Alligator mississippiensis: one gene and its partners. The protein of the gene in region 1 purifies or fractionates together with the protein of each later gene. This does not show direct contact. Links are inferred from orthologs where the notes say so. Each region holds a gene or a part of one and is shown on either strand. Other genes may lie near its edges.

Region 1 (9,689 bases):
GGATGGAGAACTGGAAACAGATTTAAAAATAAACAATTCTTGTATTATCTGAGGCAATCTTTACATGTTCTGTCCTTTAAGATTTCTTTCCTAATAGAGACAACACCTATGCACACATACAATAGCCATTCGCTTTCACTACGTAAACTTAAAGCACATACATTTTTCAATGCTAATTTGAAATATACCTGTAAATAATATTTAATCATATAAGCAGCTTAATAACAATATTGGCATCTCAGAATCATTAGATACATTGACAATGATTTTTTTTAAACTTACACAGAGCCATGGTAGAAGTAACCAAGAAAGGGTGTATTGTCAAGGGAAGACTGTACACACAGGAAAGGAAACCAGTCAGGAACATTGTGCGCTGCCTGAACAGAGCATAGCTGGTCAAAAGGCGGGCTTACATTCCCACCAAACACTCCGGTGAAACAGGATCCACTGAACAACTGTTTCAAGTCCGAGGAGCATTCCTTAAAAAAAGAAAAGAAGTTATTTAACAAGATAAACCATCTCTCCCCACCACCGCGCTAAAGCCGGGCTTTCATCATGACAGGTGATTATCAGAGGAAGTGTTATTTAAGAAGCTGTGGACCAATCTCCTAACATTCCTCGGTGTTACAGCGAGAACGGAGAGACTGACACAAATGTTATGCACTGACTACAACACATGTAGCTGCCCTATAACAGCCAAACTTCGTATGACCTTTAAATGTTTTAAATAAAATAAGTTGGATTTGTTTGTTTGCTTGTTTGCTTTGGGGGGCTCGTTTTTAAATCTACTATTAAAACACCAAAGGACAGAAACAATGTTCTCACTGAAACACAGGTTATGCTACAGTTTTATATTGGTTTAAAATGATGCATGTACTCCTCAAAGTCCATGGCAATAAAAACTAAAGAACAATATTTGACAAATAATTTCTCAGGTATGTCAGTGGATTTTGTAACACTTCCAAGACAACTTGGAGTATAAAAAAAATAAAAGGTATAACTGAAAAGTTAAATATGAAATCAGTACCTCATCACAGCAGCAGCGAATATCACAGGCTCCAGCTGTCAGGTTACAAGGACAAGAGCCTAAAGGCTGATACACTTGGTTTGGAATGACTGATGCATTTTCTATTAAAAAAAGTAATGCACAAAAAATTTAGACCCTACCTAAAGTCAACATGTTATCTTACATTGCAATCCCACTTATCAAAATTAGGTGACCACTTTCCTTTGAAAAAAAAAAAGTAAAAGAATGTCTGCATCAGAGTTCATTCTTACTGTGTGTAACTTATTTAAAAAATATGTTAAACATAATTCTGGTATCTTTTATTCCTGCTCTAATGGCAGTTTTTCATTACCTCACATTTAGGTCCAATCACTTATACCCATACAAGGAGAGCCATCCAAAACTCCAACTTTTAAATGCATCACTAGTAACATAAGAAATTAGAAAAATCCTTTTTATATTAAAAAACTGTAGATTGACTCAATGGTAAGCCATCATTCAAATCTGCAGTCCCTACATGATGATCTCCACTTTCTTTCTACTCAAAAAAGTGTGTTAATTAATTGAAAATGTATTAAAATGCCATTTACTTGTTTGACTTACCAACAACAGAACTGCTAAAATAATTTAGCTCATAATAAACTGATTGAATCAGTATTGCACACAATCAAAAGGGCAGGAGTATAGTCCCAAAAATTACTGGATGAAAAGCAAGTCTGTTGAAAACAAATGATAAGTTTATCTTTGATTTCTGCAAAGCCAGAATTTCACCTGTTGTCTACAGGTTGCAGTTTGAAGCAGTAAGAGCTAGTGCATCATGGGTTTTAAAATAATCATCAGAATGCCTAGAAAGACATACCAATATTCAAAAATAAAATATAAAAAAACCCAGAAGACTGATTTTGTACTAAGGCTACACACTTACCCGACACGTTTCCCATAAAAGAAGAGTTGGCATATATTTCAGCTTGAATCAGGAGATATGCCAGCATTTTGGAATCACGGCAAGCAGAAACTTGAAGAGTTTCAATAATACAGAGGGGCTCTGTGCAGCAATCAGTAGTATTGAGCAAACACAACTGCAGGTTTCTGGTCACACTCACTGTCACTTTGGAAGCATCCTGAAAAATGTCAGATAAAGTTTGATGGTCAAATGTACATGATTATACTTAGTTCTACACCGCATTCGGAGAAGTTTCAGTACTGTTGCATATCGCCTGGGGTACCAATTATTTAAGAAGGAATATATGTTTTGGGAGGAATGTGAAAAATATGCACTGGGATTTGCAAATAAAGGAGGCTGTCATGTATATACAGTTTATGAATATATCCATACAGATGAAATGCATTACCTCAAAACTTAGATGCAAAAGCCTAATGCCAGGAAAAGGATTTAATTTTTGGTTTTCTGTAGAATCCTTCTGAGAAGTGAGAACAGGCCCAATTCTGGAGTCCATCATGGCCTCGCTTTACCTACTGTACCAGGATGGCCACTGAACAATGCAAATCCAGTGATCCCCATTAGCACTGAGCACGATACTTCTGCAGAAGTTCCACAACCATAATAGAGAAAACTGATAATTTTGTATTTAAGTGGCACCTTGCAAAAGATTTTGATGACCATCACAAGCTGCAGGCACGTGACAGCAAGCGTGGTTCTTCCTTCCAGCTAGGATGGTACCAATCAGCTATAACGACAGGACAGCACTCAGGCACAGGACAAATGGCACCTCCAAGCCCTTACTCTCATGAAAAGCACCCTGGGAATTCTGGTGTCCAAAATCAGGGGTTCTCCAAGAAGCAAAATGCCAAGACAAGAAGCCAAACCTGGGCATATTATGTATTACCAAGTTAGCATCACATAAATTCTTAACACATTAAATCTCAACCACCTACAATGACAGGGAAGAACTATTATTTTACATACCACGCCAGGTGTTACGTTCAAACTCCAGTCACCAGCCCTTCTATTCCCACTACAGTCTGAAAGTGGCAAGAATCCTAAATTCCAAAAAAAGTGTGTTAAAACTTGTTACCTTACTGTTAAGCACTCTCTTCAGGGCAAAATAAAAAAGAATTCAATCCCATTGTTACAACTGGTGCCGCACGGACAAACTCACTATGCCTCTGCAGAGCCCCAGAGTCAAAGGAGCTCTGAGCAAAGCCCACTTTAGAATCAAACCCTTCTCGGATCAGCAGCAGTTCTTTCAAGCTCCGGGGTTGGTAACGAATGAAGCACAGGGCCAAAGCAATTATAACAGGGTATGTAACCATTCTTCCAATTACGTCTGGGACTGGAAGTGAATTAAGATTTAAACCAATGTTTACCAATGGGTCATTTAAAAAATGGTTTAAAAAGTCCTCTCACCTGTCTCAGCATCCATATGATTTACTACAGCGAGAGAGAAATTGACTCCTGCTGAATTCCCAGTTAAAAAAGAATTGACAACGGGCCCGGACATGTAGATAAAAGAAGGCTGAAAGACTAAAAAAAAAAAGAAATGACAATGAATTTTCATGCTACCCAAAAAAGAAGGAACAGATCACATTTGGGGCGGACTTGGATTCATTTTTCGTTGCTGGTGCGTTAAAGTTTAGTAGTGGAAAAGTGATGTGGCCATGACGGTGCAAAAATGACACAAGCAGCAAGGATTTTTTAGGGTGGTTTTGTTTATTGGACCAGCTCTGTAGTTAGAAAAGACCACTGGGAACGCACCTCCCACAGAGTAATCACCTCGCCTGCCCTGCCCTGGCGCTCCGGGGAAATGAAATCTACCTCACACCTTTAAAGGGCGAACCTAGGAACGGACACATGAGCCAGAGCGGCTGGACGCTAAGAACCACGGACGAAACGCTGATGTTGGATTTATGGCCTAGTTATCCAATGTATCCAACCCTTGAATGCTTTCCCTGCAAGGGTGGTGAGACTGCCCCCTCTCCCTTTCCACAAGCCTCGTGCCCAGCGCACCAGGAGTCTCTCTCCGCCCGCCCCCTCTGCTCTGCTCCACTTGCAGCACAGCTCTGTTCGAGGCCCCGAGGAAGGCGGTTTTGCACTGAAAAGCTGGCCTGACTTTATCCCAACTACCGAGCTGGTCCAATAAGGGAGAGGCCACCCTAAGGGAAAAAGGGTGCCGAGGCCTTGCAGTGACCCCCCTCGCACAGCCCAGCAGCGTCTCTACGGGGAGGCCCGCACCGCCCACGGGAGCCGCCTTCTCCCGCCGCCTCCCCGGGGGCCGCACCGAGCGGGCCCTGCGCCCCCAGCAGCGGCAGCAGCGCCGCCATCACGGCCCACGGCTGCGCGGCGGCCGCCATCTTGGCCTGGGCCCGGGTGCCATGGAAACGGCGGCGGCCGGAAGAACCCGTCCCCTCCCAGGCGCCATGGAAACGGCGGCGGCCGGAAGAACCCGCCCCCTTCCGGGGCTCTGTTACAGCATCCTCTCGGGCGTGGAAACTGCAGCCGCCGGAAAGGCCCGCCCCCTCCCGGGCGCCATGGAAACGGCGGCCGCCGGAAGGGCCCGCCCCTTCCGGGAGCCCTGCCCTCATCTCCTTTGTGTCCTCTGTGAACGCCGCGTGCCGCAGGCCGTCACAGCACTGCCGGCAGCGTTGCCAGCGGTGATCGGAGGCTGCCCGCAGTGTCAGGGGGGGGGGCAAGCGGCAACTGCCTGCAGGCGCCACCAGCGGCATCGGCGGTGCTTTTTGCAGGGGGTGCACTGCCAAGCTCGGGGGTGCACATGCACCCCCTACCTGTCGCCAATGACGTCCAATATTTTTCTCTTAAATAGACGACAGAAAGGAGGACATCTAAAAATAGAGGGCATATTATTACTCTTGAAGAGAAAAATAGAGGACGTAAAAATGTCAGGTTTCGCATCAATAGAGGACAGAGGAGCAGAAAACCAAACGTCCTCTATGATGGCCATGAATGCCATTGCGTCGTGCAGTGAAACCTCCTGAAATAGATACAAATGGAGTTGGCGAGCCTTGGCAAGATCCTGACTCCAGGGCGCCTGGAGAGGACAGGGATGGGATGGCTGCGGGAGGCTGGTCACCAAGCCCACCTACAGGAGGAAATACTGTGAAACTGCTCTTATAACCATGACGGTTGTTCGAAAACTTTAAAATGACAGGGAAGGCAATGCAGAAATCTTTTTTGTTCTTCAGCGCTAGGAAGTCCCTCCCCTTAAACACTCACTCAAAAGTATTCCTCTTCTGAGGCAGCAGAGTTGGGAACCAAGCCCCCCTCCTCTACAAGCTGGTATCACTCGCTCACTCTCATCCGCTGTGATTTTAAAGCTACTGCGTGGCCACACGCACAAAATCGGCACGGGAACATCAAACCTTCTGCATGACCATTAAACCTTTGGCAAAAGGAATCGAGATGTATACATTATACCAAAGGTTCCCAAATTATGGTACACATACCCATAGGGGTACACAAGACATCTGGTGGGGGGGGGGGGATTTTGTAACAGCGGATTTAATTTTCATTATGATAATTGTCATTTAAAGGTGTTAAAATATGCTGCTAGGGGTATGTGGGCAGCTGGTAAATCAGGAAGGGGGTAAAAAAAAGTTTGGGTACCTCTGCATCATACCACAAGACCAACAGTAGAGCTTCGGACTTGCAGCTACCACTGCCTGATATCATCTCTGGTGCGGGGCTTGTACAAAACATTTTAGAACTTTTTTTTTTTTTTTTTAATAAATGAAAGGAGCAAAAGATGGAATTCCTATTCAAATATTACTAGAATAAAAAGAAAGGAAAAGGATTTTTTTTTTAAATAAAGTCAGTGGTTTATTTATTACAAATATTCATATAAAAAGAAATTATAAATACTGTGTTCAAATAAAATGGTTTTCAATCAACAAACAAGCCAGTAAAAAAAAAAAAAAAAGGTATTTTTGATAAAACAGTTACATAGACAACAACCCGATGAAAATGAAGTCTCAGTTGCTATATACATCTTTAAAAAAGAAACTGAATTTCTCTAGTCTTTTTTTTTCCTAAATAGAAAATAATGAGTTCCCTTATACTTTTGAGGAGCACATCAGTTATTAAATACATGTTAAAACACCAAATATGCTGTTACAGTTTAAAAGTAGACAAGGATTTTTAATTTTTTTAGATCAAAACAAAATGCTTTGAACTGAGAACATGCAGTGTGTGTTCACATTCTGAGATACAAAAATATCATTGCAAAATATGCAGAACTTCCTTCTTAAGTGTCATGTGAATGCTCTAGGTAAGCCATACTACATTAAAACCTAGAAACAAATCTTATTATCATAGATCTAAAGTGTTTTCCGGTTTCAAGAACCATCTTAAAATCTAATCAGCAAGCTTACCATTCTAAGCTGACACTCATCTGAGAAACAAAAAGGGACCCCGTAGTTATTTTTCCAAAGTGAGGAAAGTTTGTGTTAATGACCTTCAGCAGGAAAATTACTCATCTGCGTATTACATGGTAATAGTTACTCAGATGAATAGATTTCAAACAATATTTGTTTGGAGAGAAGATATCAAAGTGAGGAAGGAAAAAAGAAATGCCCAGAAAGGACATAATGCCACTAAAAAAATGGTGCAGTGGGAAAAACAAAAAATCAGATTTAACTCTTTACAAAGGAGAGCAGACTGTAAACTGTGTTGAAAACCTTGGGTCATTTCCCAAGAGTCTCATCCTGCTGCAGCCTGCCTGCAGGTAACACTTCCAAGCAAGTCAACAGCATTCTGATTCCCCGGGAACTGCAAATTAGGTCTCTAACTAAGATCTAGATCCCACAAGTGCTGATGGCCATACTTAGGTTTGCTTTAAACACATGTGCGTAAGTGTTTGCCGAATCAGGGCCTTGTGCGCTCTCAGGCTAGAAACCTATTCTGGCATCATCAGGACACTGCTTGCTTCACAAGTATTTAAGAAAAAGCAGTGCTTGGTTTCCGACAATCACAAGCAAGAATGTGGTTTTAAAAATCACACGGATTAGGCACCAACGCAACCATTCATCTAACGAAAGGGCTGGTGCATGTAATGCATGACACTTACGTGTTTAGTCCTTAAGGAATTAACAACAACACCTGAATACAATTCTCTCTCATCCTTTGGAAGAAAAAAAAAACCGTCACCAACTTCTAAGTCATATTCTGTTTAACAGAACTATATGCATGAGGTAACAGCGTGCATCTGTAAAGTTGCTATACAGCTACTCTTAGTTTCTTTTTCTTGGCCTTCAGGACAGGAGGCAAGGAAATCTTAAAAGCAGTCCTGAAATAAAAGCAAAAAAAGTCAGAATTCAGGCATGCTGAATGAGTTTCCAGGCCTAACCCATAACACGCAAATAAGCTAAAAAAAGAACACTTACTCGCATGTGCTACAGATAGGACTGAAGTTGCAGAATACTAGAAAAGTAAAAAACAGTCCAGTGTAAGTAAAATCCATGCCTCAACACAAAATAATTTAGGTCACTTATGTATAAAAGTGTTTGTACACTTACTTGACAAACACACAGAGCAAACGTAACCGATTTCAATGAGATTGCGATGGCAGAAGCAAGCAGCTCTATAGTCAACATGAATGGGGGGTGGAAGGATGAGTTGAGATCTTTGCTCTTGGTCAGGAAGAAAAACCCACTGTACAAGTAAAAGTAGGGTGTAGTTTAAATCTGGGAGAAAAGTACCAAGTTAAATTAAAGAATTCTAGCATAAAGGAAAGCAACCCACCCATCTACCAAGTACGTTCTTCTTTACAACTGCACTGGGACAATAAACAGGCAGAAGACTTTTTCCCATGTTCTTCCAGGAAATGTTTTGATCATCGCATCAGCATCCAGTATTAACTTTAAACACACTCATCTAGTGATTGCTAGAGGTGACAGAATAACACCCATGGAGACAAGTCACCGATTGACTGATACAGAACAGACAGGGGCAATGGGGAAACTCCCCTACCCACCACCACTGTACTTCATATTTTGACCTGGTAGGAACACCTCTGCAGGAAGGAGAGTTTGCAATCTTCTTGGGCCACAAAGTTACTGATCTCTATGCCAAATATGACAGTTGACCCGAGCAGGGTGTGGGGCCCAGGGCAAATCAGCCTGCGCAGGGCCCCACCCCTGGATGCCAGGAAGCTGGCAGTGGATTTGGCGGGGGCAGTTACCAAGCAGCCGGACATGAAGCCGGCGGCAGTGCGGAGTCGCCACGGCCGCTCCGCCCAGCTCCCCACAAAGCACAGGGTCTGGGGCAGTCACCCTGATTTGCACCCCCCCCGGGGACAGCCCTGACCATGTTTATAAGTTAACTGTCCATTTTGATCAGTCCTGTGTTGTAGGTGACTCACAACTGGGAACTGGAATCAGACCACGTCATTTATAATAAAGCAAGAAACAGCCATCAGATAATCAGACCTCTGAGTCAGCCTCCATCTGGACTGGGATGGAACCAGCAATCCAGGAGCAAAGGTTAAAAATACTGCTTTTTCCCCTCAACATCCCCTCTTTATAAATGCAAAATATCAGATGCTAAGCACAAGCACTTCAGCTAAGCAGTGTTTTTAAACACCAAGACATACTTCCCCTTATTCAGTTCCCCAGTCTGTCATGTTAGGATATTCTCTCACAACAATGCAACTTTATCTTTTACTAAGCCTGTCAGGCTGACCTACAATGAGCAAGCCATGTGTGAAAGTCCTCCTGCAAGACTCCCCCCCCCAAGTTGTTTCCAAAGCCCTCTAATTTTCCAAGGCAACATCTACTGAAGCAGAAAGAAAATGAAACCAGAACAGCTGAATCCCTGCAAGCAACTGGGGTTTCTAAGTCTCAATTTCTCGGTCAGCTCATGGAATCTACCCCCGCTCCCAACTAAGTCGATAGGAACTTCGGAAGCTGCTGCTCTTGTTGCATGCTCTTTTCACATTCACTTACCAACAAATACTGCAGAAGGGACGGCATGTGGGGCACTTTCAAGTATATGCCTCCTGTGATGTCACAAGCCTGAAAAGCACATGCTATAAACACTTAGCACAAGGACAATCTGATATATGCCTCAAGAGAAACACCTACATGCTACAGAAAGGCTAGAAAAGCCATATAAGTCCTACAGATTTCAAATCTTAAAGAAATTACTTGCCCTAGATACTCTCAGTCCTGAATCATCTCTGGGAAAGCTGGACAGGGGACAACTCTCCACACAAGAAAATGTTTTTTCCGCTGGTTACCACAGTAAAAGGACAGAAATTAAGTGTGGATGTCTATGGGCCTCAATCAGAGAACCAATACGTTTTTAATGAACGTTTCTGAAAACAGAACCGTTCTTACAATCATTTGCACATCTTAAATCTTTTAACATTCTTCTCGATTTCTGGATAAGTTTTTTCGAATTCTAAGACTAATTTTTTTCCTCTTCTCACATTAGCAGGTATGAGCTCTTCCCCTCTAGGCACAATCTGCAAAAGAATTCTGAGAAAAGCTATTTCAAACGCATCAAGCTACCTATCATAGTATACTGATTTTTTGTTTTTCATCCAAGACTTGAAAATAGTCAATAAGCAATACAAATATGTACATGGTACCTGCTGTAGGAGCCCCGAATCGTTCTCCAAAACACAGGCATCAATCAAAATATTCTGCAATCAAAAAGATTAAAAGAATCACAATTACAGCAGCACAAAAAATAACCCTCCAGTAGAAT
Region 2 (10,055 bases), about 72 Mb from region 1:
GAATATGATGCTCCGCAGTAGATGACAAAAGCAAATACCTGACCAGTTCTGACACGGCAAACCATCCAGCTAGCTGGCTCATTTAGGCCATGAAATCTACTTCTTATATTTGTGGACACAACCAGCCAAGCATGAGGAATGTCAGACCCTCCCACATGGTACCAATTATTGCCCACACTTTTCCCATTGAACAGAGTTAAGGTTGCCAGGAAATCTTACCTCTACGTAGCCCCTTGAGCCTAGGAAACTGAATGAAAAGTACTCCTCCCACTGCCTAACTACACTTCCTTACCCCAGTCACTCTGCAGTTAGCAATATGGTGGTATCAAGCCCACCCCAGCCTTTCCCTACCACAGGCTGGTATTATACTGTCTCATGTCCAACACGTTACAATGCTATAATGCCCCACACCTCCTGATCCTCGCTGCACTAGGTGCAGCCAGCAATAATCCACTTATTCATGGATTAGTTGCAAGAAGTTGCTAAATCTACATCGCCATCTGAGGAAATGTAGGGTTCCATTTATACTGGCCTGTGACACCCTTGGTTTAATGGGTCAAGGCAGCTCAAAATAGCCCCTTGACTCTAAAATCTAAGAGCAAATGAAAGAATTGCAAAAAAATAGGTCTGTGGAGGTTCCAGGCTTCTGCAATGGTTTGCCATTTATGTTCAGAAGCTGCCATACCACTAAGTGTGGCAAGAAGATAAGGGGCTTCTAACAACATAATCACCCCTTTCTTAGGTTGTGTTGTATTCTTGGTGTCAGTTGCACAGGGATCACTTGATTTGCTGCTGTGTACTCTCAGTGTCCCCTGTGCAGCCCTATTGCCCCTGGGGGTTCCAGAAGATTCCTAACAGCTATTACCAATTTTACAGAGAGCCACAGAACTCACTTAGGGGAAACCAAAGCTAGTGTCCTTTTGGGAAGGGGAAAAAAAAGAGAGGAAGGAAAAATAATCACTGATTAATAAAAACTAGAGCTGATATATGTGTGTGTATCTATCTATCTATATATATATTAACAATCAATTTTTTTTAAATTATTTTTGCTATACAAAGTTATGTTTTTTTAACAAATGAACATAAAGTAAATTCTGAACATAATACAACTTATGTTAATACTTAAAATTAGGGCTGTCAAACAATCAAAAAAATATAATTGCACTAAAAAATTAGTCGCAATTAATTATGATTTTAATCACACTGCTAAAAACTCAAAATTATGCACAGAGAAACTCAAAATTATGCAGGTACTTTGTATGGTTAGAGGGGGGGATTTGTGAAGGTGTGGGGTGCTGGGGGTGTGTGTGTGGGGTTTAGAGCCTCGGGGGTGGGCAGCCCCGAACACCCTGGCAGATGTGAGGTACTGTGGGTCAGGAGTAAGGGACAGCAGCAGGGCTGGGGGGGAGGGCTGTGGCTTGGGAGTGAGGGGCAGAGGTAGGGCACGGGCATATCACTGCCCCCACCCCACTAATCATATTACCACCTGCCTCCCCACCAATGCCCTCTTTTTTTAAACAAAGTGTGGTAACCCTACAGGAATGCAACTCAGCAGTGTGTAGAGCAGCACCCAGCAAGTAAATCTGGAGGGGAGGGGCCACGGGGAGAGGGAAGGGGCAGGAGGGGCAGACTGAGGCCCCCACAGTGAGGGAGGGAGTGGGGAAGGAGCTGGGGCGAATGTGGCCCCAGGGCCAGGGCGCATCATGGGACAGAGCTGTGGGAGGCTTGTCCAGGGACATAAAGTACGAGGGATGGAGCTCCCTGCTGCTGTGCACACCTGTGGGGGAGGCATGTGTCCCCCAGATTTATGCACAGGGCAGAGGCAGGCTGCCCACTGTAAGCTGACGCTCTGTGCCTGCTGCCTTTGGCCCAGGAGCCATGTGACACTATGTTGTGCCTCCCACCACAGGTGGGCAAGGGACATGCGGCACAGCCAGCGTGCAGTTCCCAGGGCAAAGGCAGGGGGGAACAGAGCCCCAGCCTGCAGCCCATTTCTGCCCCATACACAAATCTGGGGGGCACATGCACCCCATGCTCCCCACAGGGGAGCACACAGCAGCGGGGAATCGCACCACCCCCATGCCCCTGAACAAGCCACCTATGACTCCGTCCCACAACCCACCCTGGCCCCGGGGCCTCATTCACCCCAGCCTCTGCTCCAATCCGTCCCTCACCATGGGGCCTTGATTTGTTGCCCCGTCCCTTCCCTAATAATTGACAGCCCTACTTAAAATTTTAATCTCTTAAAAGCTATTTAAAAAAGATGCATTGAATTCATGAGCCTCCAGCAAGAATTTTTACAATCTGCAAGACGTAAGCTGTACGCTTTTCCTAGACAAAGCAGAAACCAGGGAAAACATCTCACTTTCTGAGGTCAAGCTTCATAAATATGGCAGAACAGATTACATGCTATGTTGAGGATGCAAGTAATTGGTAATGCCATCACAAGCGTTTGACCTGGGCTCAAGCTCTAAGACACAACTTCAGGAATCATCCAAGTCCTTCACTGAGGCCAATACTCTTACTTTACAGCTTGCCCTTCTCCAAGCTCTGATTGGCTCCTTTCTCAAATTATTAAATATTTATGATGCCACACATCACAGAACATTATGATGTGACTATACACGTGTTAAAGGACCCTCCTTGGTAGCAAAATGATATAGCAAACCTAGTGTAAACCTACATGTTTGGACAGTTTCATCAACCAATGGAAATGTACCTTCCCTTATATCAGTAATTCTCAATCTGGGTGTCACGATCCTTTCACGAGTGCCATGGGTTGCCACACAGTGTTATCGCTGTTAGGCATGCAAACACAATTGACAAGCTAAGCCCAAAGATTTCAAATAGGAATCCAGAGTGTTAAAAGCGTTCTGACCTGTTGTGGCCCAAGTTCTTTGCAAAAGAAAAACTGCTCTGTCTATAGGCAAAAAATGACTAGAAATTCAAAGCTGGCACTTTCTGAAAGTTGCTTTGAATCTAACATGGAGTGCCTTGACTCCAAAAAGGTCGAGAACCACAGCCTTACATTAAAGGAGTACAAATGGAAAAGCGAATTAGAATGAAAATTCACTGTTCTAAAAATAAGTCGTAACATAAGTCTCACCTACTAGAGTATTGCAATCACTTCTCTTTTCTGTTATTATCACTTTAGATCAGTGTTCCTCAACCCATGGGTCACATGTGTGACCAAAAGTGGGTCACAAGAATATATGAAAGGGTAATGAACAAGCTTTAAAAATGGATTCTCCTTTAAAAGGAAAAAAACGTGGGAAACCGCGGCTGCCCCACAACTGGGTCGGGACTGGCCATCGATGTTCACAAATGGGTCCTGTACAAAAACGCTGAGAACCGCTGATTGATATCATTGCTACTGGGAAGCCGGCGCTGGCTCTGCACCGAGGAGCACTACAGGCAGACGGGGACTCACGTGCAGTTGGTAGGAGAAAGTCAGAATGAGCTGCACGCCAAGCACTTGCTCCTCTGGCTTCAAAGGAAGCTCCAGTTTAAAATGCAACCGGTCCATCTTGCCATCTTGATTCTTATCTTCTTCTCTAGTCTGCAAGTAACAAGGAACCCTAATGACGCTCTGGCCTTGGTGCTGGTGCCAGCACGGTCCCAGCGGCAGACCCTCGACACTAGGAAGGATTTCCAAGGGGGAAGAGCATGCATGGCCCCGGCCTGCAGGAAGGGGCTGGAGCCGAGCCAGGCCCGCGGGCTGTGCCCAGAGCAGCGCTTGCAGCCACCTCCCACCCGCGGCAGGTGACAGCCTGCGCCCAGCCTGACCCCAGGGGCCTGGCCGGGCTGCGGCGACAGCGGACGGGGGAACCGGGCACACCCCGGCCCCGGCCGGCGCCGCCACACGCACCGCGACGAGCGGGACGCGCAGGCGCTCTCCCTGTAGGCGGTTGAAGGCGGGGAACGTGCTCCAGGCCAGGCCGCCGCCTGGCGCCGCCGTCGTGGCCAGCAGCAGCGCCTCGTAGCGGAAGCGGACGGCCGGCTGCTCGCGGTACGCGGCCTGCGTGCGCCACAGTCCTGCGGGGACGCGCCGTCAGCCGGCAGCCGCGGGCACCCCACCCCGCCCCGCCCAGTCCCACCACCCAGCCCCACCCCGGCCCCCGGACCCGGACCCTAGCCCCGCCCGGCCGCGGACCGTGGCTGCGGTAGGCCACGAGCAGCGGCGGCACGTAGGTGAGCGCGCCCAGCAGCGCGAGGCCCAGGGCGGCGGCGGAGCAGAGCCCGGCGCGGTACCGCGTGCGCTGCGCGGGCTCCGAGAACAGCTCCACGCGGCCCATGGCTGCGTCGCCATAGCAACCGCGGCCGGCGCGCGGGGACCTAACCGAGCCAATCCGCGCGTGGCTCCGGCTGGGCGGGGCCAGTGCGCGGCGGCCAATAATAACGCGCCTACGTCCAGCAGCGAATCAGCGCCTGAAGCTGAGGACGCCCGAGTCCCGCCCCCCGCCCAGTCAGTGTCAGCCCAGTACCGGCACCGTCCACTAGTAAACGTCACCACAGCAGACGCCGGGGGCGGGGACTAGCAAGTGGATCACGTGGCCGCGGGGCGCGGCTTGGCTCCGCCTCGCGTCACCGGTCCCGGATGTCGCGACCCCGCCCCCTCCTCGTTGCTCGGTCACCGTGGGCCGGAAGCTCCGCAACCTATTCTGGTTGCTGGGCAACGGGGGGGCCGGAAGTCCCGCCCGCCGAGCTGTTGTTGTTGTGACAGCGACAGGCCCGGCCGCCCCCGGAGCAGCCCCGGCAGCGCCCCCGGGCCGCCGCGACCCCGGCTCCGACCCCGGCAGAGCCTGGCCCCGCGCCGCCATGAAGTGGATGTTCAAGGAGGACCACGCGCTGGGTAAGGCCGGACACCCCGCGCCCCCCGGGAGGCCCCCCCGGCCGCCCGGCCCCGCACTAATCCGCGCGTTGTTCGCAGAGCACCGATGCGTCGAGTCGGCGAAGATCCGGGCCAAGTACCCAGACCGCGTCCCGGTAAGTGAGCGCGGCCCTCGGCCCGGCCTTCCCCCGCCCCGCCCCGCTCGGACACCGCGTCGCGGGGCTCCGCCCTCCGCATCCCGCCCGCCCGGCCCGGCCCGGCCCGGCCCGGCCCCTCCGGCTGCATCCTGTGCCCCCGCCTCGCGCCGGGCAGCGCAGCCCCCGCGCCGTGAGGGAGCGCATCCGCTTGCCCGTCTGACTGCCGCCCACCACGGGCCCCTCCGCGGCCTTCCTCGGGTATGACCCGGCAGCTCTGGAGCAGTCGGGGACCCGCCCCCCCGTGGCTCCCCCCTGTTGGGAGCTGAGCCCCATTCCTCGCCTCCCCCCGGCCTGGCAGCAGCATCTCCTCCGGCTGCTCTGGCAAGACGTGCCTGTCTCCATCTCCCCTGCCTCCTACCCCCTCGAACTCGGCGCCCCCCTTTCATTGCCTCCTGGGGTGCGGTCCCTAGCCCGCGGACCAGCTTTTGCTGATGATCAACACGTTTCGATAGGTGTCACTTTCCCTGGCTGTCTAATCAAGGTTCAATCCTAGCCGGTTACCAGCTTCTAGTAAGGAACCTGTGTGAAAAGAAAACATCTGAGATGAGGCTAACAATACCCTGCCACCTCCTGTGGAGTGGACGCTTGTGTGAGTGGATGGAGGGAATCGCGACCGAGGTGCACTGACGGGTGCAGTTGTGTTGGGTAGCATCAGTGGGAGTTCAGATGTCTAGATGCGGTCCCGAATCTCACACGCAGAGTCCCTCTCAGGGAGCAGCAGTGACATGCTGCTTGTTTCTCGTAGGCCTCAGGTTTGTCTTTTAGGCCTTCTCTGTGCTTGTAAAACGAGCCCTTGGCTCGGTGCTGTGAGACGGGTGCAGGGAAGAGAGCGCTGGATGGGAACTGAGGACACGTGGGTCTCAATTCCACACAGGTTTTTTAAACCCCTTGATGGTAGCCACGGTGGGGTTCGCTCCACAGTGCTTTTAACAGGGATTATTTTCCTGATGGGTGCAGCTGCCATAACTTGACAGTACCAATTTAACCAAATAAATCATAACTATCTTCAGTGAGTCATCCTAGCCTGATCCCAGCCGACTTTCAGTGAGCAGGTATCCTCCTCTCTCGCTTCCATTCTCCTGCATTCATGTCTGCAGTTCAGGAATCTGTCCCAGCAGTGGAAGGTACATCTGCGTGGCTGTTCTCAACGTGGCTAATAAGCTCATGTGGTGTGTCCTGCAAAATGTGGCTATATGCTGGTACCTGACCTTACTCATCCACAGCTAGCTTGGTATCTGCACAGCGTGACATTGTGCCTTGCAGATATATCCGTAGCTTGAAGTTGTGCATTAAGCTGAATCCCTGCTTCCTTGTCACAAGGGATAGTGTCGTACCTCTCTGGGGACTGAGGTGCAGGATTGCCAGACCACGTAGGTTTGTCTTTGGTTGTAAATCCAAGTAAGAATGGCTTCCCCTATGACTTATAAGGCTGGAAGGTCTCTGTGACACTGTCCTGAACTTTGTTTTGTAAGGAATAAGACACTGCAGGACAGCTGTGAGGTTCTGCTCTGAAGATGTGGCTAGAACAAGCCCGAGCAGCAGGTGTCCCAGATGTCTCCAAGTGAGATGGTGTTTGTACAGTGGGCCTACTCCTACTCCAGAGAGACCTGTTGTAACTAAAGAAATCAGCCTTTTTTCAAGAAGAGCCTTTCCAAGTACCACTTTGTATCACTAGGAATAAAAACAATAAATAGATTTTATTGTAACTTAATTTTTAAATTTTAAATGAGAAATTTATTTGAACTGATTTTTAAATAGATCTGCTAAAAGTCTGACAACCTATTTTAAGGCCTAGTTTTATAACAAACTCATTCTTCTCTCCCCCCCCCCCCTCCCCCCACCACACCCACACCCTCACACTTAAGAGTTGATATGTGGGAGTGTGTATTTACTGCCAACATTTTTAATAAATCAAACCACTGGAGTAACCACCTGCAACCAGATATTATGAAGTACTAACAGTCCTGACAGCAGTAGTTTTTCCTGTAGATTCGGGGAAGCTATTTTCTTCATTTCAGCTTATTCAACTAGTTAAGTGCAATGACTGGCACGTTCAATTTATAAAAAAATAGTACTTGAAAAAGAAGTAAAGTTTGTTTTCTTCTTCCAATCTATAAATAAGTGACATATGAAAAGATAAGATCTACTAGTTCTAAAATTCTAAAGCCATGGTGACCAGAAACACTCAGTTCAGTTCATGAGCTCCAGAAAGTTTATTCATTTATTTGTACAATACATTTGTTTTAAAAGAAAGCGTTGCTTGATGCATGCTATTTTTGGATAGCCAGTACATTTAAAATTTTTAACTCAAAAATAATTTTATTTTTTATACACTTATTGGCATTCCAATTCCCATCCAAATAGAGTTTGATAAAGGGCATACTCAGTTGCAGTTAACGTACTGTGAGGCTTTCCAGCCTCAAGAATCATTCCCATGTAGGGCCTGAGAGCCAGATGTGGCACACCAGCCAGCACTGCTTCTTTGAGATGACCTTTAGGGGGTGAATCTTTGGGGACCCCCCAAACTGGAGTTTAGAGTTGCAAAACAAGAGTCAAACTCTTTTTTGTTTGGTTTTTTTAAATCAAGGTTTCCAGCTTGGTGATCTAAATGGACAATTTTAATCAACTTTCTCTGATTACTCCACTCTGTCATTTACAAGATATTTGAGCTTTCATTGTTCAGAAATAGTTATCTAAGTACCTGCAGTCATCTCTTTAGGCTCCCTTCTGCATCCAAGCAGCCAAGATTCCTGTAGAATCGCTTCTGTTCACTTGAGTTTTTGGTTAGGAGCCAAGTTGCCCAATACTAGGGGTGTTTCTGAACCTTGTAATCCCCACTTGGGACAGGCGTTGGGTCTTGGAGACCTCAAGACCTACAGCCAGGGCAGTCTGGAGGACAAAGGTTAAATAACCCTGAGGAAATGGTATTTTTCAAAATAAATATCAGTTATTAGGTTTTGAAACCCAGTTCCCCTCTGTAGGCTGCTGCTGCTGCTGCTCTTTGCTAAGCATGTACCAGCCAACCCTTGTGCCTCCTTTCTTTACCCCTGCAAAGACAGCTGTGTGACCTGGGGCAGAGACGAGCACAATCCTCTCTGAACCCCATTAGGGAACTAACTGCAGTCTAATTTCCTTTCTGGCACTCTGAAACTACAGTGACAGGCATCATGGAAACCTCTGAGAGAGTGCGGGGAAGGGGAGACACTGGTACTTGCTACAGCCCCCACCACCACACGTTGCATTCTCCTACAAGGCCTAGCATGTTAGTTGCTGTTGGTGTCTGGCATCAGGGAACCAGTGTTGATCAGGTCTTGACCTGCAGTTGCAGCTAACATCAGATATCCCTTCATCGCAGCAGCCTCCTTCCTTTGGTTTCTGTGGCCCTTCTCCCAGGACTGCCGTGACTTCTCCCAAGCTATTATTCCCAATTCAATACAATTCACAGCCTGCAGGGACCATTTTGGTCAGCTGGGCTCACCTCTCCATGATATAAACCAGAGAAGTTCAGCCAGTGATTCATGTATCAAGAACAATAACCTATGGTGGAGCAGCAGACAGATAACACGTCTGCCTCTGTGATTCATTTAGGTAACTTGCTTAGCATTGTCAGATTCTAACCCCATTTAATACACTGCCAGTCTTCTTCATTGTGGAGATACTTTCCAGATGAATGTCATCAATATAGCACTGTCTGCCTGGGTCTGGCCACAGCTTGGAAAGCTACTTGCAGTTGTGAATTCCTGCCAGCTCCTCTTATCTTATGGTTGTTAGCCCTAAAGCTTAATGATGCTTTAAACGTTAGCATAAGAATGACTTTCTGGCTGGCTTCCTTCTGAAGCTACTTTCCCCAAGCTTTCATAGTGTAGGGGGAAGGGGAGTCCTGCCTTGATGAGTTTTCCATCTGGGGTTGATAGGTGACAGTCCAACGTGGGTCCCATTTATTTATATATTAAGCTGACTTCACTCTCCTCTCATAACCTTTCACTGCAGCCAACTGTAGTAAGAGACTGTGCACACTTATCTGGAGCTCTTTACTCACTAGTCCCAGTGGGTTATTGCTCTGAGATGAGTGCTGTTGTGGCCTGCCTCAGTCAGGAAAACTCACCAGAATAAAACTCCCTGCTCCTTATCAGGTCCCTGTGGGTGGAGCAAAATGCTAACAGGCCAGCATGAGAGGGCTCTTTGCAACCCTAAGGCTTAGGAAGAAAAGGCTTTTTTCCTGACACCCCCCCTGCCGCAGGTTCTGCAAACAGTGGAGTATCTTTGCCTTTGACCATGTTAGTAGGTAGCTGCCAGTTAAGAGACTGTTTGCTGCCCAGTATCTATTAATGCTGAGTTCAGGTTGTCCAGCAGAGCTCAGACCTTACCAGGATGCAGAATGACAGTAAAGGTAAGTCTCTGATTAACAAGAAACACAGTCCTTGTGTCTGCTCGCTATGGGCTCCTCTGGCTGCACTATACCGACAGTGGCTACTGCTAGCTTTAGGGGTAGGAAAGTTAAGTTTCAGAACAGGGCCTGGCAGCCTTAGAAAAGCACAGGGAAGTTTATGGCAATATGCATAAGCACATGGATGTCAGTACTCTTGGAACAATTGGCTGTTTGTAGTAAGTCAGTCTGGACCCGAGGTTAATGGCACCACTATAGTGTTTTGCCATCTAGTAAGCCCTTGGTTGCCTTCTACTATTCTTGTTTTCCTTGTTTTCCATTCTTTAATCACTAGACCCTCCCTCTTTTCTGAAACAAATCTGGGCACCTTCTCTGTTGGATAACCTTCTCCTGGCATTGTAAACCTGTGCCAGCAAATGACTCACCTGATCCTTCTGTGTGTATGAAAGCCTCTCTTCTGTGTCTGTGCTTAATAGGTCATTGTGGAGAAGGTCTCAGGCTCTCAGATTGTTGACATTGACAAGAGGAAGTATCTGGTTCCTTCTGACATCACTGTGGCCCAGTTCATGTGGATCATCAGGAAGAGGATTCAGCTGCCATCTGAGAAAGCAATATTCCTCTTTGTAGACAAGACTGTCCC
Region 3 (10,661 bases), on another chromosome or scaffold:
AAGTCAGGCAGTCACAGCAAGAGGAGGTGCCAAGGCTGGGCAATATGACATGCACCTTTAGCACGGTGAAGTCACGGTAATACGAGGCAGCATCTAGTGCGGGGTCAGTGGTGCAACTGCTACTCAGGTTTGTAAAGGTCCGAGTACAACTTGTGCTTTTGCTCTCCAGGAAACCTTAAAAAAAGTAACAATAGTCATGAAAAAACTGTCAGCAGCCAACAACATCCCAGGAAAATCCCAGACTGCTGCTGCCACCATACTCACCAGCAGGATTGCTGTCAACACAAAGCCTACTGGCTCCCATCCCAACTGGCTGCCTGAGTGTGCTCACTACAGATGAGGCAACAAAGTAGGTCTGGATTGGATCACCCACCTAGAAACAAGATTTGCAGACCTTATAAATACAGTCTTCCAAGAATACCAGGGCCAAATGCAAGATGACAACCATCAGCTCAAGCAAGAAACAAAAACATCACAGCTTCCTTGGGTGTAACACATTATAAAAGTAATGTTCCCAAGATGGTTTTCTGGAATAATTTACAATGCATATGGTTAGTCGGATATGCCATTAGACAACAGCCTGGTTTACTGAACCCCAAATAAGGACTGTGGGGGGAACAGTTAAATGTACATTTTTTTCTATCTTTCTCCCTCCAGCACTGACTCTTGTCACCACTAGGAAACCCAGAGAAAAGTTATGACAGTCTTCTGAGGACTCCTTTAACTTACCCGGTAAAAGGCAGAGGGGGGTGGCATGGGTTGTGATGGTGACACAAAGGATGGGCCACCATACTGCTCCAAGAGCACTGGGAAATTTGATTCTGTAACCTCCTGTGGCTGCTGAAAATAGTTCAGCTTTGCTAAAGATAGGGAAAGAATAAAAAGAAACCAACCCCAACATCAAATCATTAGAGAAGACTGAGGGGGGGGAAAAAAAAAATCACATGTTGCATAAGTAGTCTAAGAGGACAAAAAGGAGGACCTGGGTAACTACAGGTTGTTTAGCCTGACATCAGAGCTGGGCATGATGGAACACTGGTGAGGTACAATGAGTCAAGGCTGTTAGGATAATTAAATGCCAATCAATCTGGGTGTATAGAAAATAGGTCTTGTCAAACAAACTTACCTTTTTTTTTTTGCTTAATTTTCAGCATGGATGCTAGATGTAACTGTGTTGAAACAGTTTCAGATTTCCATAAGGTACCCGACATTAACACTATACAAAAATCAACATAACCCCTACTAGATGGTTCAAAACTGGCTAAGTGATAAACCTCAAAGCAATTGGAAATGAGGAAGTCTTCCGAAAAGAGAGGCTTTCTATTGGCATCCTACAAGAACCCCTTCTTGGCTCAACAGTATTCAATATTGTTATCGGTAACCTGAAAAATATAAAATCTTTGCTGGTAAAATTTGCAGAGGGCACAAAGCTATAGAGATAAATAATCATGGGGACAGATCAGTTTACACAGACCAATCTTGAAAGCTAAATACAGAAGGCACATCTGAACAACAGGTACTGTAATAAAGTGAAATCCAAGGTCATACTTCTAGGTACAAAGAATGTAGGTCACACTTAAAAGGGCAAAGCAGGACCCTTGGATATATAAAGAGGGGAATATCAAGTAGTAGCAGAGAGGAGATATTACCTTTGAACATGGCATTAGCAAGCCCATTACTGGACTACTGTGCTCAGTTCTAACGTTCACAGTTAAAAAAAGGATGTTGAAAGAAATCCGCAAATGTTCAGAAAAAAGATAGAAGAATATTCAGAGGCCCAGAAAATCTGCCTGATAGTGAGAGATGTAAGATGGCTCTGTGGAGGTGGGGGAGAGCAGTGAATGTGTCACTGAATTTACCTTGACTTTAGCAGGGCTTTTGACACCATCTCTCACAACACACTCATTAACAAGCTAAGGAAACACTGAGGAAATGAAAGGACTGTAGGATGTAATGGTTCAAAGACTAGATGGAAGGAGGCATCAAGTCGGGCTCCCCCGGGGTCCTCAGTATTGTTTAGTATCTGCAATAATGATTTGCATGATAGGATTGAGTGCATGCTTGACAAATCTGCAGACAACACCAAACTGGGTGAAGTTTCAGACACTGGAGAATAGACGTGGATAAACTGGAGAAACGGTCTGAAATCAATCAGAATGAATTCAAGAAGGACAAGTGCAAAGCCCTGCACTTGGGACAGAACAACTGCACGCACAAATACAGACTGGGGAATGACTGGCTAGGCTGTAGCACTGCAGAGAAGACCTGGGGTGACAGTAGACCACAAACTGAATACGAGCCAACAGTGCGCTCTTGTTGCAAAAAAACCAAACAAAACCCCAAACCAACAGCAACCTGGAGTGCATTAACCAAAGTCTCTTACATATCAAGGGAGGCAATTCTTCTGCTCATTTTAGGACTGGTAAGGCCTCCCCTGAATTCCTGTTTTGGGCCCACAATTCAAGAAGGATGCAGACAATTCGGAAAGTCCAGTGGGGTGACAAAACTGATTAGAGGCCTGGGAGGAAGAGTCATGGGGACAGGCTGAAAGAACTAGGGCTAAGAGACTGAAGGGGTTTGGAGCACAGCCTTCAAATACCTCAAGGACAATTAAGAAGAGGGTGGCTGTAAAGGACAGGACTAGGAATAATGACCTCAAACTGCAGCAGAGGCTACAGTTTAGGCTACACGTTAGGAGGAACTTGTTGAGCATGAGGGTGATCAAGCATTGGGACAGGCTCCCTGGAGTAGCTGTAGGATCTCCATCCCCGGAAGTTTTCAAGAGCAGGTTAGAAAGACGCTTCTCTGGGATGGTTTGGTCAGGGATGATCCAGCCTTGAGCAGGGGGCTGGGCTAGATGAGCTCACGGGGCCCCTTCCAGCCCTGCTTTCCCGTGACCCTACTGTCTTCCACTCGGTACGGAGAACGTACCTCTGCCCTCCCGCCGCCAGGTAACCGGATGCACCTCTCACCCAGCCTTACACTTTCGGTCAAGCACCTTAGTGTTCCCTTCCCAGCCCATTTTAGGAATTTGGTGTCACAAGGAAAGACTACTTACAGTCGTTCAGCTGCACACAGAACAGCCGAGTCTGTCCACTGGAATCAGTGACGGTTTCCGTAGGATACGGGGTGTTATTTCTGAAAATAAGCGATTGCTCCACACACACCTGGGTCTTAGCCCTGCCCAAAAACACAGAAAAGGGAAGATGAACCCTACCGCCCTGGCCACATGTACGTTCTCCGCTCCTAAATCCACCCCACGGCCCAGCCAACCGAGCGGATGCTGCATTACTCTTCATTTCCTAACGGGAGTTATCCTACAGGCCCAACACAAGGCAGGGGCACCTTCGGCGCTAATTCAGAGACATGAGGTTTCACAGGGGACAACTGACTTCACCAGTTGTTCCACGGTGCTGTTTTCCATCTTCAAATCGCGACGGGGAGGGACCCAGGAGGCAGCGAAGCCTGCATCTGAGGCACCTGGGCTTCCTCGGGAGGACAAGCGCTACGGGGACAGGAGGCCAGAGCGCGCCTCCTCCCAGCGCCGGCCTCGCTCCCGCCCAGCCGGCTGCGCTCTCCCGGCCGCCCCCTCGCCCGCCCCACGGCCTCGCCAGCCACGGGGCCGCCGGGCTGGGGAAGCGTCCCGAGCCCTTTCCTGGCGACCCTGCGAAGGAGCCCAGGGATTCGGGCACAGGGACACGGCCAAGCGCCTGCCGAGGGCCGGACGCCAGCCCAGTCTTGGTCGTACGGCTGCTGCGAGCGGCCCCGGCTCTCGCGGGCCTGACAGCACGGTGCCCGGCACCGGGCGTGCGAGAAGGGAGTGCACGGCCCAGGCCCTGCGCGCACGTGTGCAAGGGCAGGGCATGGCCCCGCGCACACACGGCCAGGAGCAGCCCCATGTGCACACACGCAGACACTCGCACGCGCGCGGCCCCGGGGAGCCCACCTGGTGCTGCCGGGCAGGCAGCGGGCGAAGGCGGCGCGCGGCGGGCGCAGGTCGCAGCGGGGGTCGCAGTCGGCGTCGCAGCAGCAGGCGACGTCGCAGGCGCCGCGGCGCAGGTCGCAGGGGCAGGCGGGCGGGCAGCCTAGGGCGACGCCACGGACGGGTCAGCGGGCACCGCCGGCGGCACGGGGGGCGGGGCGGGGCGGGGCGGGGCCTACCTGCGCCGGCGGCCGGCGGCGACTGTCCCTCGGGGGCTGCGCTCGGGCGGGCGGCGGAGGGCCTGGGGCTAGGGCCGGCCTCCGGGCCGGGGGGGGCCGTGCTCGGGGGGCCGGGGCCGGGCCCGGGGGGGTCGGTGCTCGGGGGGCCGGGGCTGGGCCCGGGGGGGTCGGTGCTCGGGGGGCCGGGGCCGGGCCCGGGGGGGTCGGTGCTCGGGGGGCCGGGGCTGGGCCCGGGGGGGTCGGTGCTCGGGGGGCCGGGGCTGGGCCCGGGGCTGGGGCGGTCGGCGCTCGGGGGGTCGGGGCTGGGCCCGGGGCGGTCGGTGCTCGGGGGGCCGGGGCTGGGCCCGGAGGGGTCGGTGCTCGGGGGGCCGGGACTGGGCCCGGGGCTGGGGCGGTCGGTGCTCGGGGGGTCGGGGCTGGGCCCGGAGGGGTCGGTGCTCGGGGGGTCGGGGCTGGGCCCCCCCCGCGCCGGCGGCCCCAGTAGCAGCAGCACCAGCAGCAGCGGCGCGTCCATGACGTAACCCGTCGCTAAGGAACCGGCACGCAGGCGTGTGACGTCATCGCGCAGGCGGGCCGGCCCCACCAGGCCCCGCCCCCGGGCCTGGCCCCGCCCCGCCCCGCCCCGCCCGTCGCGGCCGCCGGCAGCTGCGCGTGGCCGCTCTGCTCCGAGTTGCGGTTCCCGTGGGTCGCGCCTGTCCGCCCCGCCCCGCCCCGCGGGTCTCCGGCCGAGGCGGTCAGAGCGCCGGACCCAGGATCTCCGGAAACGTGCCCGTCCCTCGCGGGGCGCCCCGGGGCCGATGCCCCGCGGCACCACGGGGAGCGCACACGCCGGCTGCAGAAATACCTGAGCCTGCCCGCGGGTCTTGAGCGCGCCGGCTTGCCTTATACCTGGTTTCGGGCTGCCGGCGCGGGTCTGGTACAAGACACCAGATTGGCCCACGGGCGCTCGCGGCGCCGCTCCGACGGCAGGGGCAGCCGGCGGTTGCTGTCGGCAGCGCTGCGCCGTGTCCCGCGTGGGGCTCAGCGGCTGCCGGCGCCTGCGGGGAGCGCGAGGTCCGGGGCAGGGGCAGGCGCGTCCCGGCAGACACGGAAGAACAGCAGAGGCGGACGAAAGGCAGACCTTGAGCCGCGCGGAGAATTGCGGCGCTGCCCGGCTGTCGCTGCCCGGTGCTGATAACTGTGTCCTCGCGCTCCTCCCCGCGCCGTCCTCTCGCCGGCTGGCGGCAGCTGGTCGGGGGTGCACGGGGCGCACCTGCCCCCGACAGCTGACACTGGTCCTGTCGGTAGGGCTGGTGCCCCCTGACTGGGCGGCATCTGCAGGTGCCCCCAGACTCGGGAGGCACCAGACGTTCATGTTCTCACCTCAGCTTCAGTCCACACCTCATACCCTTCTCCCCTGCTTTACCCCCAGACCACCGTCTGTGAAAAGCTCCTGTGCCCTCAGGTTTCTTTCCGTGCATCTGGCTCCCTTATCTTCAGTCCCCTCAAGGAACTGCAGGAAGCAGGTGCTATTTGCTGGCACCGTGATGTTCGTCCTGCTGGTTGCGTGGTACCCATTTGTATGGCACAAAGCATAACGGGGTCCCAGTCTCAGTCCATCGTAGACACAGTTGAATATTGATCGCTAACAAAGAACCGCGGGAGGATGGAGATGCGGTGCTCTGGGAAGGCCGATGGACTGGGTAGGGGGGTAAGAAACACCACTAGGTGCCGCCAAGCCTGTGCCTAGGCGCACCGAACGTGTGCAGTCAGTGGTCTGCCTCTACGGAGCAAGGGAGCAACGGCCACGTTGAAGACGACGAGGGAAATCGTGTTGCGGGGGTGCAAACAATCTTGTTTGTGGAAACCCTGAGCAGGGAAAACGTACTACTCCTAGGGAAGGAGGCGTGTGGCCTGACAGGCCAGCGCAGCACAGACCGAGACAGGCAAGGAGACAGACTGCTGGAAGAATTGGACAACTAGTCTTTTGGGAGCACAGAAACTCTGAACGTTTAGTCAAAAAGAAATTCTTTGCCTCCTGTATAGTTTCTGAAAGCCCTTCCCTGGCCGTCCTGTTTGGAATCCACCTGGTTCAGGAGACTTGTCCCTGCCCACCTGCTTTGTTGGGCACAGTCATATGAATTCTGTGCCACCCTGCGAGGGTACGTCTAGGCCAGAACCACTTGGAACCGAGTCCATTTTTATTTTTTAAGCTCTAATTAGGAATAGTATACACAAAATAATCCAGAATTACTTATTTACTCTTAATAGGCACATATGCAAAGGACTAGACAGCACATAATGCACCTGAACAAACAGCCTGGCGCTCTTCTACCCATGTTCTGTTAGGGTCAGAGGAACATTTTAATAAGTTAAAAAAAATTCAGCCTCACATAATACACAACAAGTACTTAAGGGTTGTCTTTCCCTCTAAACTTCCTTAAAATATCTATTGGGTTGAGAAGAAGCATGGAAGAAATTCAGCACAATGAGATGTTTTTGAAAAAATGACAACAGAGTCTAGAATTTAAGCTACTCTGCTGCTAAATCAGGTTTGAAACCACTGCAGGTGAGAGTCATCACATAATGTGACACAGAGAAAGAGAAAAAGCCTGAAGGGAAAAGCTGAGGAAAGAAGTCTATACATCGAATGTGAAGGCTTTTACAATTTCTCTGGACTGTCACAAGGGATAGATCCTGGGGTGAGAGAACCTGGAAAGCAAACAAACACACGAGTCCCCCATGGCCTCCCCCAAAAAGCAGCAGCAAGACAAATAGCAGTCTTGGGGAGCTATCAGTTGTCACTCCAAGACTAAGGCTTGAGCTAGGCTGCGCTGCTTGAAACAAATGATCAAAGCTCTTTGAGGTATCAGAAAAAATGGCCCTAATTTGTGATGGGGTCTCACATTTCTGTCTCCAAGCAGCTCAAGAACCAGACCTACTCTCACTCCTGCAGGTTTTTTGCATAGTTCGGTCTCCCCACTCTGTAAAAAGAAATTTGTCAGGCTGCTTTTGAGGTAGCTGTAATGAAAAGTCTTCCAGACACTGAATGTCAAGGAAGCAGCCCTGTCCTTGACTTTGCAAGTGTCCTGTTTCAAGCTCTCAGTTCTCTCCCTTTCTTCTGAGTAGGCAAAGTATATGCCTCAGTTAAGGAACACAACACTGAAGCTCCCCAGCTGAATTTCACACCATCGTACTTTCCAAGCATAATAGATTTTCCTTTTTTTCATTTGAAAGCAAATTGTCAGACCAGTTTTAATCAGGAATCCTTAAATCTGATCCATTAGCATTGTGCTCACAGGACATGGCTCTCCCCTCCCTTAAGCTAGGCTAAATTAATATTGCCTATGTCCAGCGCAGCTGAATTAAATGGGTAAGGCTTCTGCGGGAGGAGAATCAGGCCTAGAGTAGTTAACATCTGGGGCTTGCTTTGCTAAGATTTTGCTTAGCTAAAATGGCACATTATGAAGATTCAAAAGCTATTCAGACTGCAATGTAGTACTGACTTGTTCAGGCAGTGGACGCAGGCCCTATTTATGGGGAAAGGGGGCTTGAAATGAAGGCTTATTTTTCTCCTTGCAATCCTGGAAAGAAGACATTGCCAGTGGTTGGGATGACCTTGGCAGTTCCCTGGGAAAGTGCTCCTCCTCCCAGGTGGGGCACATGAAACCCGCAGGGATTCCCCTTCCCCAGCCCCTGCAGGGTCAGGGCTGGCTGTTACTCAGCCGGATGAGAGGGAGACTGGGGAGCAGGCAGGAAAAGCAGTTTTCTGCCTCAGGGCCCTGGCTCCCTCCAACATCTGCTTCCCACGGGTGCGCTGCTCCAATCCTGAAGGCTAGAACGTGTGGCAGTGACCTTGGAAAGATGCAGCAGGGAGTCAAAAGACAATAGGTCTGTCTCATCACTAAGTGTAGGGAAAGATTTGTGAAGGGGTTTAAACAATTTGTTGTAGAATATACAAGTGCTGTCCCTCCTGGCCTGCCCCTGCCTTCCTTTTGTTCTTAAAATCGCACAACTAAAGCTGTTTCCTTTGCTCTTCTGTTCCTTCCCAGGCAGAGCCAGCTTCAGGCTGCAGTTGCCCCTGTGTTCTCTTGGCACTCTGAAGCCACAACATGCCTCAGCTGTTTCTCCTCCTGCAGGTGGACCATCTGCCCCTTTCCCCTGGAAGAGCAGGGAGCGATCTCGCAGAGAGGGTGCTGAGGCCCAGGGGCCACTAGTTGTTTCAGGGCAGGTAGGTAGAGGAGCGGCTGTGTTTGAAAAGAAGGGGGAAGGGAGCATATCAGCCCCTGCTCGTTTCTTCCCAGCCTGGTACAAGAGCAGTAGGCGGGAGCCTTCTCTGCTCCCTCCTCTCCTGCAAAAATGGAGATTTTTCAGAAACAGGAGCTGGCTCCTGGGCTGCCTGGAGGCCTCAGCAACTCTAGGAGGACGAGCGGAGGAGGAGCAGAAGGGCCCACATGAGCCTCTGATGCAGAGATCCAGGAATCCTGAGCACGCACCACCACCTCTCCTGCGGTGCCCAAGACTGCTTCATCCGTTGTTCTAGAGATGGACGTGGACACTCGTGCATCTTGCCAGAGCCTGCCCTATTCTGGAAGTGCTGGTCTGTATATCTCAGTCACTGTTACTTGATTACTAATTCCCCTTTTGGAGGAGGGTGGGGGTGTGAGCACACTTCTTCTGTGGCCACAGGGGTCAGGACAAGGAGATCTAGCTTGGAGATCAGGAAGAGCTTTCTCTGTGCAGGTGGTTCAGCATTGGGCCAGCTGCTTGGAGAAGTGGCATCTCCATTGCTGGAAGTTTTAAAGAACAGGTTAGAAAGAAATATACTTCTCTAGGGTGTTTTTTGGGGGGCGGGGATCCTGCCATGAGCAGGGGGTTGTCCTGGATGCGGCCTCATGAGGTCACTCTGGGAGTCTCGGTAGATCACAGACTCATTGGGGTGTCGTGTGGTGCAGCTGCATAAAAGGCAAATGTGGTCTTGAGCGTCAGTAGGAGCATCAGATACAAGAGACGGGAGGCAATAGTGCCTCTCTACGTGGCACTTGTTAGGCCCCATCTAGGGCATTGTGTGCAGTTCTGGGCTCCACGTTTTAAAAAGGACGTGGAGAAGTTAGGAAGAGGCTCCAGAGGTAGGTGACAAAAATGATGATGAAGAGCTTGGAAAGCACGTCATACGAGGAAGGGCTAAAGGAGCTGAGCACATTTAGCTTGCAGAAAAGGTGCTGAAGAGAGGACAGGGCAGCAGTCTTCAGATATTTCAAGGGTTGCCATAAAGAAGAGGGAAAACACCATTTCTCTCTTACTGCGGAGAGTAGCACAGACACAGCTGCCGAGAACATCTTTCAAAAGAGAGACTGAACAGCAGAGGCAGAAAGGTGATGAGCATAGCTAGCAGCGATGGGAGTAGAATTCCACATAAAAAAAATCTGAGAGCCTGGAAACCTGTCTTTGGGGAGGGTGTGTAATAGAAAGGCATGCCAGTCCCATCCTCTCTCCATCCTGTAACATGAAAACAAGGGACCACTCAATGACATTAGAAAAATAAAAATTCAGGGTGAAAATGGGAGTAATCAAGGTGCTTGCTTTAGCAGGATGTTTCTGAGAAGAGTACTATGTAAAAGGCTTGTGTTCTTAAAATAATTATTCTGGGATCATCCAGAGAGTCTGGAGCACTGCTGTCAAGCCCCACTGTTCACAGACTCCTAGAACAGTAGGGCTGGAATCGCAGAATCGCGGGCCTCCTTGGGTCCAAACCCCTGCCCGAGGCAGGACCATCCCTATCCAGCCCCATCACCTAACCTCTACTACAGCCAGTCCCAACACAACGCCAGACATAACCCAAACCTGCCACAGGGAAAGCAGGGGGCCCTGGCAGCCAGCATCCTGCTTCTGTAAAGGTTCTTGAAAAACACTCGGATCCCAGGCAGAGGCCGTGTTCCCCACCAACGAGGGAGGCAAACCTCCCCGGTCCAGTCTCTCTGCGGCGACTGGTATGACTCTGATCAAAGGGGCAGACCTCAAGGTAACCTGCAGCATCCTCTGAGAACACTTTCATGCTGAAGCCACGGTGTGACATAGAGGCAGTTTTCTACAGCTACAGTCTGGCTCTGCTCCTCGGGCATGCAGGTGATGGGTACTGCAGCTGCTGGATATGTTTCAAGGCAGAAGGTCCAATAACTTCCTTCCTCCTCTGCAAATACAGCAAGCAGATGCCTGCAGTGCTGCACGGGGGCCCGGCCACTGGTTGTTCTGTTATCTGCCGACTGATCAGTTGCTTCGGAGGCATTTCTCGAAGACACGCTAGTCAGGTTTCTAAATCCTGCAGACCTGTCCCAGAGATCCCTTTGCTCCCAAGGTTCCTCCGCTCTTTCTGTGGTCGTTTCCTTCCCCTGCTCTCACCCAGGGAGGCTGAAAGGTCTCTGGCTTCCACTCCAGCGCTTTCCAGTCCCGTCTCCCTGTTCCCTCGAGGTCAAGCTAGCATGCCCCAAGTGCCTATCTCCACTTGGGCACTGACTTCCCTT

What was found.
Region 2: the proteins of TCTN2 (region 1) and TMEM231 purify together in Homo sapiens (affinity purification with mass spectrometry; 3 studies listed by BioGRID and IntAct, counting the BioPlex papers as one, with this or other methods). This does not show direct contact. The link is inferred for Alligator mississippiensis from reciprocal best matches to the Homo sapiens genes TCTN2 and TMEM231.
Region 3: the proteins of TCTN2 (region 1) and TCTN3 purify together in Homo sapiens (affinity purification with mass spectrometry; 3 studies listed by BioGRID and IntAct, with this or other methods). This does not show direct contact. The link is inferred for Alligator mississippiensis from reciprocal best matches to the Homo sapiens genes TCTN2 and TCTN3.

Annotation. Positions count from the first base shown.
Region 1 is NC_081833.1:5,965,806-5,975,494, reverse strand, and holds the start of TCTN2 (tectonic-2), read right to left. Parts: upstream 4,369-9,689; 5' UTR 4,319-4,368; coding exon 4,246-4,318; exon of another isoform or gene 4,200-4,245; intron 3,492-4,199; coding exon 3,375-3,491; intron 3,008-3,374; coding exon 2,934-3,007; intron 2,128-2,933; coding exon 1,932-2,127; intron 1,129-1,931; coding exon 1,028-1,128; intron 480-1,027; coding exon 283-479; intron 11-282; coding exon 1-10. Other genes in the region: GTF2H3 (general transcription factor IIH subunit 3), read right to left, coding at 7,197-7,266, 7,364-7,400, 7,496-7,631, 8,924-8,992, 9,571-9,624.
Region 2 is NC_081833.1:77,752,282-77,762,336, reverse strand, and holds the start of TMEM231 (transmembrane protein 231), read right to left. Parts: upstream 4,311-10,055; 5' UTR 4,296-4,310; coding exon 4,154-4,295; intron 4,036-4,153; coding exon 3,869-4,035; intron 3,560-3,868; coding exon 3,431-3,559; intron 1-3,430. Other genes in the region: GABARAPL2 (gamma-aminobutyric acid receptor-associated protein-like 2), read left to right, coding at 4,819-4,852, 4,931-4,986, 9,892-10,055. UniProt on the Homo sapiens protein: Transmembrane component of the tectonic-like complex, a complex localized at the transition zone of primary cilia and acting as a barrier that prevents diffusion of transmembrane proteins between the cilia and plasma membranes.
Region 3 is NC_081829.1:101,207,528-101,218,188, reverse strand, and holds the start of TCTN3 (tectonic-3), read right to left. Parts: upstream 4,691-10,661; 5' UTR 4,676-4,690; coding exon 4,162-4,675; intron 4,086-4,161; coding exon 3,947-4,085; intron 3,181-3,946; coding exon 3,059-3,180; intron 861-3,058; coding exon 730-860; intron 374-729; coding exon 265-373; intron 175-264; coding exon 56-174; intron 1-55.